5 linked regions of the Canis lupus familiaris genome follow. The protein of the gene in region 4 interacts with the protein of the main gene of each other region in a biochemical or structural test. Links are inferred from orthologs where the notes say so. Each region holds a gene or a part of one and is shown on either strand. Other genes may lie near its edges.

Region 1 (3,516 bases), on a different chromosome or scaffold from region 4:
TAAACAGGAATACTTGTAGTCTGTCTAAAATTTCTAAATTAAAGAGATTTCCATTATTTACTACCAAGTTTAACTTTACAAAGAAAATTGTATCCTTGCAATTTCAGATCACTTATGATAAAAAAAATACTTGTGTATAAGTAACTAAACCCCTTTACCTTATAAATATCCAAAAATCCACACTGGTGGTCAAACCTGGTATACAGTTCATTCAGCATGCTGATCACCTGCATGGGAGTACACTGGGCACATATGGCTGTGAAGCCAACAATGTCCGAGAAGAGCATGGTAACGTCATCAAACTTTCTTGCCTGCACCTGCTGCCCTTGCCACAGCTGCTGGGCTACATCACCAGGGAAAATAGAATACAGAAGATCCACTGTTTTCTTTTTTTCTTCTTCCAGGGCCTGATGAGTTCTTTCCAAAGTTGCCTTTAATTTATCCATCCTCTTCTTCAAGCCATCTTGTGCCTTTGCCTGTTCACCAACCAGAATGACATCTCGGGTGGCATCATGAATAGGGATGTCTGAGAGATGCAGCCCTCGGCCCATGAGTTCATCCAACTTGTCCACACATGGAGAGCCCAAGAATAAAATGGAATTTGATTCTGGGACATGGATCATCTGTCCTTTGACTTCCATCACCTGCAAAATTAACATGAAATTTTAATCAGTGCTCTTCACATAGTAGGTTCACAAAAAAAGTTAATTTACTATCTGATGAAGAGAAGGAACAAGAAATGTATATTAGCTATGCTGAATTTCTGCATTCATATGAGCAAATTTGAATATGGTTGGCAACCTGTGTAAAATTCATGGTTCTGAACAGAAATCTTTGTTATTATGCCCCACTTTGCTACTTCCTAAAGACAATGATGAAATGATGAGTGAGATCAATGAGAAATGAACCTGAAAAACATTTTTTATTCAAAATGAAATTACACTCAGGCTCATCATGAAATTGGCTCATGAGTCAATTTAGCACCTTTCAACCTGCTTAATAATAAAATTAGGATAAATCCATCTGTCAAAACAACTGTATTCAAGTCATTAAAATAACACTCAGGGAAAAAAAGTCCAGAAATTCAAATAAATCAAAATAATTGTTTGGCCTTACATAAGTCATTTTTCAAGGCTTGTAGACCTTTGAATATATAGTAGTTCTTGCACTGACTTACAGAATGATTCACTTTATCTTTAAAAATAAAAATTTAAACTAGATGTGATTATGTCTGTATTATCAGGAAGTAATTTTCAATCAAATATCATGTTCACTATGAGCTGAAAATATACCCCCTAAATCAGAATAACACTAAAGGAATTCAGTTAGGAAGATAAAGAATCTGAAGATGCACTACTTTAAATTGGTCCCTCCTTTCTGTATTCTTTGACTACAGAACTTGGGCGACTGATGTTTCATGTGTTCCATCAGTGGACGCAAACTGATGCTAGCTTAGCATGGCACCCTATGAGCCATTCCAAGGGAAGGAGCGGCAGCAGGAAAGGAAATGCACTTAGGATGTTGCTGTACAGTGGGACTCAGTGGCTCAGTCAGTTAAGCATCTGCCTTCGGCTCAGGTCATGATCCCAGGATTGGGATAGAGTCCCACATCAGCCTCTACACTTGGTGAGGATCCTGTTGCTCCCTTACCCTCTGCTTATCCCTCCCCTGCTCATGCTATCTCTCCCTCTCTCTCTCTGTCAAATAAATAAAATCTTTAAAAAATAATAAAAATAAAAAAAGGATGTGGCTGTACAGAGTTATCTGGGCCAGAGTAAGGTATCTCCTGGAAAGGAGAGAGGTGGTAATGACCTAGAAAGAACAGCCCAAGAGTTGACCACCAAGAGTGCATATCTGTTTAACCTATATCACCTTCCACTGCCACATGGATGTGGCTCATTAAATTTATTTTCCTTTATTATTTGTAGCATGAAGTAGTTTGGCTGGCTGATGAAACTGAAGGCATAGAACAAACATACAGTAAAACTGAGAGATTTGGATGTGTAGGCCTGCATCTATGTTTTACATGATTCCACCTGTACCATTCATCAAGATTCAGTACAGACATGGAAATAAAATCAGGTCCTCCCTTGACACTATAATTTTTATGAAATGAAATGTTTGCTTTATCTTAAGTGAAGTTACCACGAGTGTTCAGTATTTCCTCCTCTGATACCTAGTACTCTCATTTCTTCAATGAAATATTTATTGTTTCCTATTTACTCACACTGCTCTAGGTCATTAGCATAAAAAGATAAAAGAATATGCCCCTTCTCAAGGATACATAGGATGGTGATGGAGGCCAGAAAATGGTGTGCAGAAGACACTCCCAATCCCTCCCCCCGCCGCCCACCACCACCACCAAGGGCAGTTTCCCAAGGCTGCAGGCTATGGCCTGAGTACAGACAGAGATGACTGTTCTGAGAATATCCAGGCTGTGTCCTGTGTGCTGTGCCTGGCAGGCTGTGTTGAGAGGACTGCTGTTAATGGCACATGCTTGCCCACCATCGGGATGGTGAAGGTGTCATAAGGAAGATACACAAAATCTACAACATCAAAGCTAAAAATTGACCATGATCCATTTATTCATAAAGTTTAAGTTTTGTAAAAGCAAATCTCTGATGCTCAGAGATCTAAATCTAGATTTAGACGTATGTGGTCTCTCTCTCTCTCTCTCTCTCTCTCTCTCTCTCTCCCCCCTCACATTTCAGATGTTTTCTTCTTCTCCATCTTACTTTTTTCTCCCTTCTCCCCTTTGTTTTATGGACTTATACTTCCAGCATCCTCTCTTCACTTGGTCTTTGTCTCTCCTGCTGCCTGTCTCTCTCTCTTATGAGCACTCCCTGCCCCTCCCTCTTTCCTCATTACTTCATTCTCTTCCAAGACATCAACCTCCACGTGTCCCATCACAAATGGACCCCTTTCTCCCTTGCCACCATCTCTCTTTATGTCAGATACAGAATCAGCCTATGGTACATGCACTAACAACATTATGTATTATTTGCTATATGTAATAAACAATAGCGTTTTTGTTTAACTTAAAAGAAGCTGAGTCGAATATCTGCAATTCCTAGCTCAAAAATATAAAACATAAATAGGTTCTTGATCTATACGTGGCCATTAGCTGTTTGGGTGGTTTTTATTTTGAAATCTCTGAATCAACAGAGTCTGAGGAAAAAGTGATTGCTTACCTCCTACACTACAGAATAACAACTCATAAGATAAGCCCCAATGTACATGTAAATAACTTTTAATATTTTTTCATCAGTGAATTTTTCCCTTATTTAATAAATGGGCAAATATAACTGAAGCATTTGTGTCTCTATCATAAATGTGTTTTTACTTTAATTGGTAATAACATAAATTATTCCTTTTGAATTACATTTGTACCATTATAATCATAAATTCAGGAATTCACCATCATCTTCACTTGTTCATTTAGCAATGTGCAGAATTATTATAGAAATTATATATTCTTATGTATAGGAAGCAGATTTATGGGAAAATACATAAAAT
Region 2 (2,871 bases), on a different chromosome or scaffold from region 4:
CACGCTCAGCGAAATCTGCTTGAAACCCTCTGTCCCCCTCTGCCCCTTCCTGCCTGGTGCCCGAGCGCACACACTCTCACTTGCGCTCTCTTAACATGTAGATCTTTAAAAAGGAAAGTGGGGCAAAGAGAGGCCACCAGAAGTTCAAGAGGTGAGAGTGGAAGTCTGGGGCACAAGGGGGTGCAGAAGGGCCGCAGGATGGCCCAGGTCTCTGGCCAGCACTGGTGCCGGGCCTGCAGGGTAAGTGCTCACAACTGCCCGCAGCTGGGGGCTGCTACCCAGTTTCCAGAACTCTCCTCCGCACTTGTTTGTGCTGAACCCCCTGCCCGGAACGTTCTTTCATCCTTCAGCTCCGGCCAGAGGGCCCATTGGCCAAGAAGCCCCCTGCCCGCTGGCTGTCTGCTGTATTCCTCACCGGGCCTGCGTCCCAAGGTCGGGGGACCCGGGGCTATGAGCCCTGACCACCTGTGCTGGGCTCACGGGGTCCAGCCACCGCCCCTGCCCAGAGCCCCCCACTCACGCTTCCACTCGTCCAGCGTGCGGTCCACATCATCAAAGGACTCGTCGTACTTCTGGGCCTTGGGCTCCTCCTCCGTGTCCTGCAGGGACTCGAAGTACGGGTGGGTCAGCGCCTCGGCCGCCGTCACCCGCTGCTCTGCGTCCAGCACCAGCATCTTCTCCAGGAGGTTCACGGCTGTGGGCAGCGCCGGTCAGGGAGGGCCCAGGGCCCACTGTCCAAGTCACTGACCCAGCTCCCCTGAGTCCCATCCTACCCAGGGGGCTTGCGTTAGTCAGGATGGAGGCAAAATCCTTCTTCTGCAACTCGGGGAGGCCCTTCATGTAGTTCTTCGCCTTTTCAGGAAGAAAGGGTGAGGGGCCACGCCACAGCCCCAGCCCAGCCCCGCCGCCCACGCCCAGCTCCCAAGTGACCTCGGCACTCTGCAGCCTCTGCACGAACTCGGCGGGAGGCGTCCCTGTCACCTTCATGATCTCCTTCAGCTGGTCCAGGTCTGTGCTGAGGTGAGGAGCATAGCACGGGCCAGAGAGTGGGGCTCCCCCCAAGCTGGGGCAGCGTACCCAGCACCCACCCAGGCCCAGCCCGGCCCCCACATGTGTAGGATACGGTCACTGCCCTTGAACAGTGTCTTCCCCGTGATCATCTCTGCCATGATGCAGCCCGCGGACCAGATGTCCACTGAGTCAGAGGCCCCATGTCAGCGCTCGGTGGGCCAGGGAGGGTGGGACATGCGTGCGGAGGGACACAGACACAGCGGCAGTCCAGCCTTCCACCCCTCGCCCGGCTCCCATCCCTGCACAGCCGCCCCCCACGAGGAGCCACTGTGGGGCTTCCCCTGAAGAGGGGCAGCGGCGGCGCCACCTGGGAGGCCACGGCTGGGGGTGGTTCTGGGCAGCGCCCCACCTGTCTGCGTGTAGCGCATCCAGTTCAAGATGACCTCAGGCGCCCGGTACCACCGGGTCACCACGTAGCCAGTCATCTCGCTATCTGCCTGCCTGGCCAGGCCGAAGTCCAGGATCTGGTGGGAACCGGGAAGGCGGGGCCCGGGGCCCCCGGGAGTAGGTGGGCCAGCCTGTGACCCAGAACTGGGCACGCGGGGCCTCCTGCCAACCCTCCAGGACCCGAGGTCCTGGCCACGGACTCTCTGAGCCTCCCCGTGAGCTCCTCTGCGTGGCCAGAGCGCCCAGCCCCACTGACCTGGCTTCCACCACCCTCAGGAGCAGCGCCCCGTGGGTCTCCTTCCCTGCTGCTCTGCTCCCCGCTGACCCCGGGACCTGGCCAGCACATTGTAGAGGCCCCCTTGGCCCTACCCTGGCTCAGGCCTGGGGGCCTGGGGACACCTCCCGCCCTTCACCTCATGAGGTATGGCGTGTGCCCGATGCCCTCCTGGCCCAGACGGCGGGGGTTGGGTCCCTCTGCCTGAAGGCCAAGGGTAACCGGCAGATGGACAGGTGAGGAGACCCCCTGCCCCCCTCCTCCCCCCAACACACACCTTCAGCTCACAGTCCTCATTCACTGCCAGATTGCCGGGCTTCAGGTCCTGGGGACAGAGGAAGCATGGCCGTGCGGCCCCTGCCCCCGGGGGGGCACAAGGGCAGGGCCGGGGCACCTGAATGGGGAAGCAGCCACACTGGGCCAGCCCTGGCCGCAGCCCTTCCAGAGCGGGTGAAGGTCCCTGGGGACCCACAGCTGGCATCACACACACTCCCCACCGGACCCCAGCACAGGGGTCCTGGAGCTCAGGCCCCCCGCGCCTCCCTGCAAAGGAAGCTCCCACCAGGACTCACCCTGTGGATGATGCCGGCGGCGTGGATGTACTATGGGGACAAAGATAGGGTCCGCGGCGGTCAGCTCTCTGGGAGCAGCGTGCTCCCCAGCCCCAGCCTGGCCTGAGGGTGTCGCCCTCCCACACCCCCTCTCCCACCTTTAGCCCCTTCAGCATCTGGTACACAAGGAACTGGATTCGATCCTCACTCAGCTTCTCGTGCTTCATGAGCTTGCCCAGGTCAGTTCCCATGAATGGCATCACCAGGTAACTGAGAGGACAGGTGGTGCAGACAGCAGGTGTCGCACCCACTGGAGACCCCGGAGATCGCCCCGCAGCACCAGGCTCCACCCACCTGTCCAATGCCCCCCCGCAGCTCCTCCTCCCACCCAGCCCCAGAATGTCAGGTTCGTCAGGACCACACTGTGGTGCTCCCTGCAGGGCACATGGAGGCTGGGATCTGGGGAGCACCAGGGATCACAGGCAGAAGAGGGTGCAAGAGAAAGGAAAGCCTGCAGGTAGGGGCGGGGACGGCAGGACACATGGTCAGAGCGGCAGGCTGGGCAGGTGGAGGGAGAGAGACAGCGAG
Region 3 (3,516 bases), on a different chromosome or scaffold from region 4:
ACCCCCAAGGCTCTCAGCAGAGAGGGCAGGCTGTGAGTACCTGGTTGCCTCCACTCTTGGGGTTCACAAACACCAGCAGGGGCTTCATGAGGGGTGACGGGGTGGGCCTGATGATGAAGGGTCTCCAGCGGCCCTCCTTGGAGATGGAGAGACTATGAGGCTCCAGCCTGTCTTGGCAGACCTCGCCCCTGTTCTCGGCGGTGGCCCCTCCCATAACCACCTCCAGGGCAGACCTCAAGGTGGGCCTGGCCACAGTCTCCTACTTTCCTCAAGGGCCCAGAGCCCGGCACTTGGAGGAACAGGCCCCTCTTTCCTGTTCCCCTCCCGCTGTCTGTCGGGCCCCAGGACTAACCTCTGGCCCTTTCTTGCTCGATTTCCTCTTGAAGGATGCTCTCTTTTTCTTCTTGCTTGCCTTGAGGGTATTCTGCAAGGAAAGCCGGGGTGTTGGTGACAAGGAAGGTGGGCTGGGACGGCTGGCAGAGCCCGAGCATGGGGGTGGTATCACAGCCGCGGGCAGGACTCACCTGGGGCCTGCGGGCACGGAGGATCCAGGTGGGCGGGATGACCACAGCAGCGTGGACACCCAGGGAGCACGGCTCCTCTATCTGCTGCAGCATGAAGCAGGACACCTTGCTGTGGTACTAGAGAATAGGGGGCGCAGGTGAGCTGAGGCCTCAGCTGTTTGGGGGGGGGGGGACACACCCAGAGCAGCCAGGGAAGGGAGGGGCGAGCACCACTCACCGCTTGCTTGCACCAGGAGCAACTGATGGCCACAATCTCCTTGCTGTGGAAGGTGAACTTCTGCTGGAAGCCCTAGGGTAGGAAGCAGGCAGTGGGTGGTTGGGGCCCCAGGGAAACTGAGCACATTTTTTTTTTTTTCACATTAAAAAAAAAATCTGTAAGATAAGCCCCTGGAGCCGGGCGGCCTGCCACTCTACAAGGTTAACCTGAAGTTACCCGCGAGGCGCTGGGTGCACATACCCAATCTGTTGCGAAGGGTCCACAACTGACTCCTGCCAGCTCAGATGCCCTCCTTCCTGAGCCCATACCCCAAGGCCCCCTGGTATATGCTTCGAGGCATCTATCACATTCATTCCCTTGTTCATCCCACAACATTGATCAAGGGCCTGCCGTGTGCCGGACACTGTGCTCGGGACTGAGAATGAACAGAGGAAAGAGACAGGGCCCCAAGACCTTCTAGAACCTATGCTTCCTGAGGGATACAAACCAGAAGCACACAAGGAACAAGTGACCACCACACCGTGCACTGCACTCGGGGAAGACCGCCCACAGTGTGTCTTCAGGCCACAGTCTCCTGCAGGAAGGGCAGAGGCCTCACTACCTAGCCCTGAGTACAGCACCCAACAGGTGCTCAACAAATGTCCTCAGTGACCAAACAAGTAAGTCTATGAAATTCTCAGAGGGCTCAACCACGACTTTGAGGCAGTCCAGATACACTGAACCAAAGGTAACTTTCTTCCCTGCTCTCCTGCTCTGTGTAGAGACCTGAGCGTTTGGAGCTGACTGGGCACCTCAGCCAGGGTGGGAGTGAGCCCCAGGACTCTGCACTCAGGAGACAGTGTCAGTGATGGGCAGACCGGATGCTCGGCCTGAGGCTTGGGGGCTGCGGGGTCCAGGCCCAGGGGCAGCAGGCTGGCCAACCAGCCTGGGCAGAGCCTCACCTTCCCACAGTGCCGACACTTGCCATCCTGACGTCGTCTGTGTACCCAGTGGTGCCGCACGAAGGTTGGCTGGAGGAGGAGAGTATCACTGGAGTGAGGAGTGGGAGAGGCACAAGCCTGAAGCATGGCCTGCACCGCTCCATATATTAATGGGAGGCGTGGGGCCGCAGCAAGTTCTCCACAGAAGTGTGTGTGAGGTGAGAGGGCTGGAGAGCGAGGAGGCCCAAGAGGCAGGCATTGTGCCTCACCCGTTCTGCAGGCAAGGCCAGGCCTTCCCCCACTGAGACCCTCTCAGAGCCTCAGCCCTGCACGTCCCTGAGCCCCAGAGCGGCTGGGTCCCCTGGTGGCACTCTACAGACACCGTGGAGAAGCCCACTCGGGAAACTCAATGCCTCCTTACCCATAACTACCCTAGGCACTTACCTCACGGATGTTCCTGGAGCCTGATTCACGGAAGGATGGTTTACAGCGGAAATTTATCTGTGAAACATTGCAATGACCACCCAACTGTTAGAACCTCCTTTCAGGCAGTCAGGCATCTATCCACCTTCTCTAAGAAAGTGTCATTCGGAGTCATCTTCACAAGGTAGTGATAGCCCCAAAGCCTCCTGGGAACCATCAGAATATGAGACACCTCTTCTCAGAAGCCCTCCTGTTTCTCCGCCTCCTCTCCACTATCCAGAAGGGCTCTTCCTTCCTCTGTTAGTATCCTGGGATGGGGGACACTGGGAGTTTTGCGTCCACCTCCCTGCCTCTTCCCATACTTCCCCTTGCCCTCCAGTGCTCCCAACCTAGGCACGGGAAGGCACCCTGATCCTTGCTTGCAGACTCGCGCGGGCTGATCCCTGGAGACCATGAGCTCATTTGTGGAAACTGGTCCGATTTCCACCTTGGGCTCTATAATGCCTGGGGCTACGTTTGTTTCTCTTTTCCCAACTGTCTTTGCTCCAGCCTTAGCTGGAGCACCCAAGTTGCCAAGGGAAGCCTCACTCTCTGAGTTAAGGGCTGGGGCAAGTGGCCCACGTTACCCTTGCTCACGCTGGTCCTAGTCTTACAGGCTTTCCCATGTGCTGATGGGTTTCTGCTGCCTGGGGAGCCCTCCCACCCTCTGCCTGGACCTGCCTACCCAGGGTTCCCCCAACTTCCCTCTAGAAGCACAGGGCCCAGACGTGGCACCAGCTGTAGACACACTGTGGACAACAGTCCCTAGGGAAAGGTCTCTAGAGCAGCAGCATATAGGGGACAGAGCCAAGCTTCGGCAAGACAATGGCCCCTTCTAAATGCTAACTTAGGTGCGGATAAAATGGTGTTTTGGCCGTCACTTATTTATTCATCCCACCGAATAACAGTCAGTGAGCACCACTCTGTGCCAGGATTGTTCTGGGCAGTGGGGACAGAGGAGCTTATGGGGGGAGACAGGATTCAAAGGCAGACATTTCAGCCCCAAGGTCTTTGGCTCTTCACCACACAATGCTTGTAACGTGAATATGCGTGCAGAGATACACGCGTGCGTGTACTAAAATGACTTCAGCACTCAATAGGGAGGAGCAGGAAAGGCTGAGGACCCATACTCACCTTCTCTAGCTGCTCGATGCAGGGGGTGTGCACCACGATCTTGCAGGCTGCACACTTTCTCCGGGACACTGACTTCTGCTACAGAAAACAAAGAGAGGGCCCTGAGGCACCAGGTAACTCCCTCCAGGATGCTGCCCCAGGCAGAAAGAGAAATCCTTACATCTGCCCCAGCACAGCCGGGAATTCTGTGTTCACTGGGAATTCCCAGTCCTGGCGTCAGAAAGAACACAGCCCCCATTCCCTCTGCCATCCTCAGGCA
Region 4 (4,201 bases):
TGCATTTGAGAATACCGGCAAGTAGGTGTGTGATTTTGAAAAGCCCTTCCGGTGGTACTGACATGCCCCTTCAGTAGGGAATCCATGCACTACTATAAGCTACAAAGAGAGGACGTGTGATATTTGCTTTGATGGTGTATGATCACTCCTACTGCACGCACTCAGGACCAACACTTCAACTCAGAGCAAGAGACATTGTTTTGAGTGGGGCCTCTACTGGCTTCTCTCATTTGCAGTCGATCTCTGAAAACTCTGGCTGGGAATAAGACTGCTGCCCCCAAGCCCAGGTGGCTCATTTCCAGGAGGCCCACAGGCCTCCCCGCAGAGGTCCTGCCCGTAACACAGGATGGCGTGTTGCAAGAATGTCACATCAGAGGTTTTTACAAAACTCACTCTTAGGTTGCTGCATCCGTAAAGTCACATAACTGTCTGATTCCTTTTAAATTTATTTTCAACTGCAGGGAGTCACCTTTCCTTCCTCTTTTTTTGGGTGAGAGATTTTTTTTTTCATCTCTTTGCTAAGTTATTATTCATTAAATTGAAACCAAAGAGAAGAAAAGACATAATGAAGGACATAAAAGACATAACGAATTGAAAGAGAAATGGCCTGCCTTTTGTCCCCCCTGAGAGTTTATAGCAAATATTGCAAGCGAAGCAGGCGCCTAGCAGTTTATAGTCCAAACTAAACTTGCCGCAGATCCCACCTGCCTCTTGTCACACAAACCAACACACACACTCGAGTCAAGAAAACTTTTTTCTGTTTACTTATGTTAATCATCAAGCCAAAGCAAATAGCCTTCCACTTTCTGGATCCAGGGTAGCTATTAAATATGAAGACATCACAAATCCTCTAGATAAATAAAAGTGTGTGGGGGAGGACCCTATGTATTCTAGGCAGGAGCTGGACGATCGTGTACCAGAGAGTTGCATCAGCTGTCACATGTAACAAAGCTGGTTTTCCAACTTTGAACTTTCTCGGTTTCACACACCAGCACCACATCTGGTGAGCAGGAAATTGACTTTAAGTCCTCAATTTCGGATTTAAATCAACCACCAGTTTACAAGATCTGGGTTGAAATACTGTGCGACCATGGCTATGGGCTCATTTATTTATTCACTTGTCATGCATATCCTTGAGCCCTGAAACTCAAGGGAGATGACCCATAACTAAATAAAAGACCCCAGGCAACTCAATCTACAGTGAGGGGGAAGCTGAGTAAATAGGCAAAAATAATTACATGATATGTGTGCTAACTGAGGTTAGCACGAAGCAAGCCATGGGGGCAGAGAGGCAGTTACCAAGTAAGAGATACAAGATGTAGTGGGAAAGGAGAATGATTATCCACTTAATACCCTACTGCCCTTCTGCCCTCCTAACAGCACATAATCCCAAAAGGCTATAACAACTCGGCTACCTATTCCACTCCCTTGAAAAATTAGGGGATTGGGGACATAGGATCTCAAGAGAGTCCTTTCCAAGAAGCCTCCCACTCAGGGGAAACTGTTTACAAATGCGAAACTGTTTCCACGCCACTCAGGAAAAATCCCGGGACGAGGCCAGGCAGAAAAACTGCCTCAGCAACCCTCCAGCCAGAGCAGCCTGGAATCCAGACTGACCGGCCAAACACCTGGCACCAGAAGGGAACCAACTTCTGCATGAAGCTGCGGCACACTTCCCCAGCCCTTGGCACAACTCCCCCAGCGTAATAACCCGGGTTTCCAGTCTGCGAGGAGGGAAGTCCGGGAGGATGAGGGGGCTTGGGGGGCGGGGGGGTCCACGCACACGGCCACGCCTCTCCATCCTCTTTGGGGGGGACTGAATGAACCCTTTAAATCAGATCGCCCAGGCTTCTGAGAACATAGTGCCGAGGCACGAAGCTGCAGCAGAGTTGCGATTATTCATTCAGTGGGCTCTCCCCGCCGCGTGGACGGCTGCCCCGGGTTACACTCGGCCCCCACGCCTCACTCGGATTATCCGCGGGGAAACAGGACACGCGGTGCACTAAGCCTGCTCGCCCTGCCCCTTCACACACCCCTGCAGGGTCCCGGCCTGCAAGAGCTCCCGGGTTAGGGCCGCGGGGTCAGGGACCTGGGTTAGGGGCGCGGGGTCAGGGACCTGGGTTGGGGACCCGGGGGCAGGGGGGCTAAAGCTGTCCCAGCTCCCCGCCGCCGGCCCCGGGGCTGCGCGGGCACGTGGGTGGGTGCGAGGGGGTGTGTGCGCGGCCGCCGGCGGGAGCCCCTACCTTCCAGCAGCACCTCCCTGCCCGCGCGCTTCAGCGCCTGCACCGCCTCGTCGTGGGTGGCGTCCCGCAGGTCGGCCCCGTTCACCGACAGGATGGCGTCGCCCACGTACAGGGCCTGGGTCTGGTCGGCCGCCAGCCCCTTGAAGATCTTGCTGATGAGGATGGGCATCTTGTTCTCCTTGCCTCCCTTGATGCTGATGCCCAGCCCGCCCAGCTCCTGCTTCAGCACCTTCACGCCGCGCTTCTGGTTGGAGATGGCCTCGGGCACCTGCTCGGGCAGGTCGGTGAAGGCGGTGCGGACCCCGGCCGGCGAGTCGGGGGGCTGCGCGCCGCCCGCGCCCCTGCAGAACGCGCCATTGGTGGCGGTGCCCAGGCCGTTGGACGCCGCGGCGCCCTCCTCGCAGCTCAGGACCAGCGCGTCCTCGCCCAAGTTCACCAGAACTTTGTGCCAGCGGTCCCGCACCAGAACTTCCAGCGGCCCGCTCCGCGGCGCGCGGCCGCCTCCCCCGCCGCTCGGGCCCGCCGCCGCCGCCGCCGCTACCGCCATCTTTCCGGCATTCTTAAAACGCCGTGCGATTGCCAAAGGGGGGAAGAGTGGGCACGGGCTGCGGGGAGGCCGCGGGCGCGGGGCGCGGGCCGGGCGCGGGGCGCCGCTCGGGGACTTGGCACGCGCGCCCGGCGCGAGGTGGCCGCCGCCGCGCGCTCCCCCTCGCCGGATCCTGCGCGGGGTGGAGCGACCTAAAAGAAGGAGAGACACACTCAGGGGAGGGGAAAGGAGGGGAAAGAAAAAAAAAAAAAAAAAAAAAAGCCAGCTGCCAGTTGCAAACGCGCCAACGGAGGGGAGCGGCGGCGCTCGGCGCCCGGAGGGTCGGGAGGAGGAGGCGCGCCCGCGGGGAGGGCGGGGGCCCGGCGGGGCCCGGCGGCCGCTCACCTGTTCCGGCCGCTCGCGGCTCCGACCCCCGGCCCCGCCCCCTCCCCGCCCCGCGGGCGCCCACGCCGCGCCTTGGCCCGGACCCCTCGCCCTGCCTGGGGCCCGCGCTCCACGCCCCGGAGCCCGCCCCACTGTCCCTGGGTCCCGCCCCCCCCCCCCCACGCCCCAGCCGTACCCAGACCCAGACCCTCCTCGCTCCGGCTTCCGCAAACCGAGGCTTGGCTTCTCCCGCCGAGCTCTTCCTCACCTGGCTCCCCTCCGCGCCGGGGTTCCCAGGTAGACTCGGATGGAGGCCCCGGGTTCTCCGAGAGTCCAGAGGGACGGCTGTCCCGAGAGCTCAGGATGGAGCGTCAGCATAGCCCGAGGGCCCGAAACTTCCTCTCTCGAAATGCAGGCAGGACTTCTTTCCTCCGGATCCCTGGAGAGGCGCGTGTGCTGGCCGGTGGCTTTCAGCAGGTCACTGCCTGCCCCCGACCCCAGACCCCGGGACCTGACGCCTTCCCAGCTTCAACACTCCGTAGGCAATCTGCGTCTCTGTCTGGTCCCCGCCCCCACCCCACCCAGGGCCATTCCAGTTGTTTCCTGGGACTTTCTCTTTCTTCCCAAAATCCAATGTAGGAGGTCCCACCGTTTGAGAACTCGGTGGCAGTGGACTGTATCTGCAAAGTTCCCTTACTTGTTTGGACTAGTTACTAGTTACTCATTGTTCCAGGGGGACGGTATTATTATAGTTGGTCACCTTACCAGGCCAATCAAGAAATGCCAACCTAACCCCAGTCACGGCTGAACCCCCTCAGAGTGTTCCGGGTCCTTGAACCTCTGAGGTTCTCCTCCCGCCGTAATCAGGTGTCATGGGCCTCCCCACCAGTTTTAAGTCTTATCCCCCTCCCCCCAACTTTTCATCTCTCTCCCCGCTGTCTAAAATCAAAACAAAGCAAAACTCACAAGTAACCCAGCAAGGTTAGAAATCTTACCAAACACATTCCCACTGATGTGTATCACCATTGACATCACCGAACATTCTCTA
Region 5 (3,516 bases), on a different chromosome or scaffold from region 4:
CCTACCCCTCACGAGTGTATGTTCCAAGTTACATGCAGCTTCCAGTTCTAGAAACCTTTTCTAACGGTCTCCCAGTTATGGTTCCAGGTAGCAGAAAGTCTCATCAGGAGGGGGTGGGATTTTGAAGTGTTGCCATTCCTGCAACATGAGGAATTTCAGTGGCTGAGCAAAAGGCCTGCTTGGATTTCTGTGTTTTGCTTTTGCATTTTAGGGAGGGAAGAGAAATGAGAGAATTTAGAGGGCTCAGTATAAGCACCTCTCACTCTTAATCAGCTTTACTCAGATGGATCATTCATAACAGTAACACTCTGATTGCTGCAACATGTTGGGAAAAATTAGAATTTGGCCTATTTGTCAGCCTGTCAACCAGGATTCTGGTAGATTCCATTTTGAAGTCTCGGTATGACAGTTGAGTCTGGATTGAGTTCTGATTAAAAGAAATCCCTGGTTATTACTTTCTGGATTAGTAACTAAAATCCTTTTAAAATCAATGAAGGCAGCTCATTGTGAGGAGTCACTTAGGCTTTTAATTTGATTTACATATTAAGTAAGAATTATTGGAGGGTTCTATTCTCTAGCACCAGGTACTAATGTTCATCCTCAAAGAAGTCATGTGCGTGAATTAATCAAATCTAACAGTATGAAGAAATAATGGTTTAAAATGGAGAGGGTTTTTTTTTTTCAAATTTATTTTATATATGCAAATACTTTTTTTACTCAGTTAGTTGCATTTTCAAATTAAGATCATCCTCATTTTCACCCATGTTCTTATCTTCAAAATTTATATTATAAAGTATTATGCTGATATAACACATGTCTTCATTCTCCATGTATTTATTTTTTAAGTTAAAAAAGTGATAATATTCTTTTTGAACTTATTTGTCTTTTGTTTGCTGGATACTTTGTGCACATGTGTACATATAAGTGAGTGTGGATGTGTGTGTGTGCAAGTAGAAGAAAATTCATTTTCTTTCAATTTCATTTAACACTAAAAATAAAATTTGGACAGGGTATTCTTATTGGATTAAACAGACTCCTTCTAACTACTTGAACCAGGGGTTTGGGATTCAGATCTCTATAACCAAGACTGGAAGTCACTGGAAGACTTTAAAATTATTTTAACCATGACAGCCCGAGTCATGAATGGAAATAAACCCATTGCATGGATTTTTTATAGGCATAATCTCAGAATTTAACTATCCAAACAAGGTTTAAAAAACAAACTTATAAAAATTTGCCATTGAGGAAAGTCTGATCTCCATCCTTAATTATGACTCCTCATTTCAAGTAAAAACTTTCCCGAAATTTTGAAAAAAAAAAAAAAACTCCTAAGAAAGTCATAAACACTGAAATCAGAGATGTGATTCTTGTTAAATATTAGTTTCTCTTTCTGAGGGATTGTTCCCTGTTTCTGTACTTTTGATGTCAATGTCATGAGGTTTAGATTTGTTCAGGGGTTCAGACTCTTTGGATTCAGGTATATTCAATGATTTCATCCTTCCTTCTTCCTGCTTCTTTTCCTTTGCAAGCAATCTGTAGTTTATAGCGTTGCCAATGAGCAGCCACACACTTGATAGGAACACAATAGTTCCGCAGGCTATATACATGTATTTATACTGTCCAGTTTCATCCACCAATTTACCTAAGAGACAGAGAACATAATAAAACAACCAGAAAATGATAACATGTTCCAATAAATTCTTCTACAAAGTATGTACTTATTTCTTATTTAAGTTAATATTAAATGAGATTTTAACAAAAAATATTACAGATTATGAATTCTATATATGCATAGAAAAGGCAATTATGGACACACACAGCATTATATTACCAGCATATTAAGTTTACTAAAGACTATTCCCCTCAATAAAAATGTACAACCAAGACAAAGTAGGTATATATTCTTAAATACATGTATGTGTGAGACATGTTTTTTGTATCTATGTGTATCTAGATATATTTATCTATTAATATTTACCATTGAGACTGCTTCATCCTTTCCAAGCTTTTCAATAAAAATGAAAAAATTATATTTTTTATTTAAGAAAGACCCAAAGGCTTTTTTAAGGTTCTTGACATGCTTTTTCTATGTCCAGCACTAGGCATAGAAACATTTTTCTTTTTAAGATTTTTAATTTATTTATTTGAGAGAGAGAGAGACAGTGGATGAACATGAACAGGGAGTGCGAGGGGAGAGAGGGGGAGAAGCAGGATCCCCACTGAGCAGGAAGCCCAACGCAGGGCTTCATCCTGGGCCCCTGGGATCATGACCTGAGCGACACAGAGGCTTAGCTGACGGAGCCACCCAGGGGCCCCTAGGCTAAACACTTTTAAATGGGGTAATATCTAATTTAATCCTTACAAGAGCCTGATGAAGTAATCTGAATGTGGCCACATAGCCAGTGAGTGGCAGAATGAGGAGTCTAACCAAGGTCCCTGAATCTCAGGTTCTTAACTACTCTGCAAAAGAGCTTCACCACACCTTTTGGTTAAGAGTCAGACCATAACTTTTTGGGCTAAAAGCAATTTAGTTTATCTGACTCTAAATTATTAAAGCCAGACTAATCAGGAAGAAAATATTTATTACATTTGATTATTGGGAACATTTAAAAACTAGCCTAATATCATATAACCTGAACGTTTAGTGACTTTTTTTTTTTTTTTTTTGAGTGAGAGTAGCGGGGGATAGGAGGACGCACAGAGGGAGAGGGAGACAGAGACTCTTAGGCAGGCTCTGTGCCCAATGTAGCTACACCTGACGTGGGGCTCTATCTCATAACCCTGAGATCATGACCTGAGCTGAAACCAAGAGTCGGGCACTCAATCAACTGAGCCATTCAGGCACCCTGGTTTATTGACTTGTAAAAATAATTCAGCTTTACTTAATTTTGCCTCTTGGTTATGCAGGTACCTAAATCTTAACAATGATAGTATATACAAATCTATATTATTTATTATATGTATATTCTAGGTGATTCTGATATAGGCCTGATTCTTTAATCAGAATCTCATTCATTCTGGATAGAATCTAGTTAGTGGCTCAGTATTAAATTTAGCTACTTATGAAATTGCCTATTTGAGCAAAGTCCTCTGTTTAATTAGTTAAATGGTGGAGTCGGCTTATTTAAGTGTGCCATATAGATAAACATAACAAAAATGTATAATTTAAATTTCCATTCTAGTGCTAGTCAAATATTTCTATTCATACAATGATTCTTATACTTCTAAATACATAAACATTAGGTCTACGTCCCTATCAGAGTTAGTATCACTTTGGGCTGCCATATCAACATACTTTCTAAATGTGTGGGGAGTATTTTAGCATCATCAAGAAACCAGATATGATTTCCAGAACTAAAGCTTCAGCTCTTGTGAGTACAGCACAGAAAGTCTGAGCTGAAAAAAAACAAAACTAAAAATCATACTCTATCTCCTACTGCTCTACTAACAAGAGTGGCGGCAGCAGCAGCAACTGTGTGAATAGTAACTACAATGATACTCATTCATTCAGAAGTA

The links.
Region 1: the proteins of SNTB1 (region 4) and GUCY1A2 interact in a test that uses a peptide from one of them, tested with the Homo sapiens proteins (2 studies listed by IntAct, with this or other methods). The link is inferred for Canis lupus familiaris from reciprocal best matches to the Homo sapiens genes SNTB1 and GUCY1A2.
Region 2: the proteins of SNTB1 (region 4) and MAPK12 interact in a test that uses a peptide from one of them, tested with the Homo sapiens proteins (2 studies listed by IntAct, with this or other methods). The link is inferred for Canis lupus familiaris from reciprocal best matches to the Homo sapiens genes SNTB1 and MAPK12.
Region 3: the proteins of SNTB1 (region 4) and DGKZ form a complex in vitro, tested with the Homo sapiens proteins (2 studies listed by BioGRID and IntAct, with this or other methods). The link is inferred for Canis lupus familiaris from reciprocal best matches to the Homo sapiens genes SNTB1 and DGKZ.
Region 5: the proteins of SNTB1 (region 4) and SLC16A7 interact in a test that uses a peptide from one of them, tested with the Homo sapiens proteins (2 studies listed by IntAct, with this or other methods). The link is inferred for Canis lupus familiaris from reciprocal best matches to the Homo sapiens genes SNTB1 and SLC16A7.

The regions. Positions count from the first base shown.
Region 1 is NC_049226.1:25,514,181-25,517,696, reverse strand, and holds part of GUCY1A2 (guanylate cyclase soluble subunit alpha-2), read right to left. Parts: intron 645-3,516; coding exon 159-644; intron 1-158. UniProt on the Homo sapiens protein: Has guanylyl cyclase on binding to the beta-1 subunit. Isoform 2 acts as a negative regulator of guanylyl cyclase activity as it forms non-functional heterodimers with the beta subunits.
Region 2 is NC_049231.1:17,896,268-17,899,138, reverse strand, and holds part of MAPK12 (mitogen-activated protein kinase 12), read right to left. Parts: intron 2,554-2,871; coding exon 2,442-2,553; intron 2,335-2,441; coding exon 2,305-2,334; intron 2,058-2,304; coding exon 2,010-2,057; intron 1,536-2,009; coding exon 1,421-1,535; intron 1,196-1,420; coding exon 1,124-1,195; intron 1,011-1,123; coding exon 931-1,010; intron 853-930; coding exon 774-852; intron 695-773; coding exon 521-694; intron 1-520. UniProt on the Homo sapiens protein: Serine/threonine kinase which acts as an essential component of the MAP kinase signal transduction pathway.
Region 3 is NC_049239.1:43,521,735-43,525,250, forward strand, and holds part of DGKZ (diacylglycerol kinase zeta), read right to left. Parts: intron 3,336-3,516; coding exon 3,258-3,335; intron 2,163-3,257; coding exon 2,106-2,162; intron 1,752-2,105; coding exon 1,683-1,751; intron 814-1,682; coding exon 742-813; intron 642-741; coding exon 525-641; intron 425-524; coding exon 353-424; intron 137-352; coding exon 41-136; intron 1-40. UniProt on the Homo sapiens protein: Diacylglycerol kinase that converts diacylglycerol/DAG into phosphatidic acid/phosphatidate/PA and regulates the respective levels of these two bioactive lipids.
Region 4 is NC_049234.1:20,013,704-20,017,904, forward strand, and holds the start of SNTB1 (beta-1-syntrophin), read right to left. Parts: upstream 2,806-4,201; 5' UTR 2,791-2,805; coding exon 2,244-2,790; intron 1-2,243. UniProt on the Homo sapiens protein: Adapter protein that binds to and probably organizes the subcellular localization of a variety of membrane proteins. May link various receptors to the actin cytoskeleton and the dystrophin glycoprotein complex.
Region 5 is NC_049231.1:3,852,235-3,855,750, reverse strand, and holds part of SLC16A7 (monocarboxylate transporter 2), read right to left. Parts: intron 1,643-3,516; coding exon 1,371-1,642; 3' UTR 1-1,370. UniProt on the Homo sapiens protein: Proton-coupled monocarboxylate symporter. Catalyzes the rapid transport across the plasma membrane of monocarboxylates such as L-lactate, pyruvate and ketone bodies, acetoacetate, beta-hydroxybutyrate and acetate.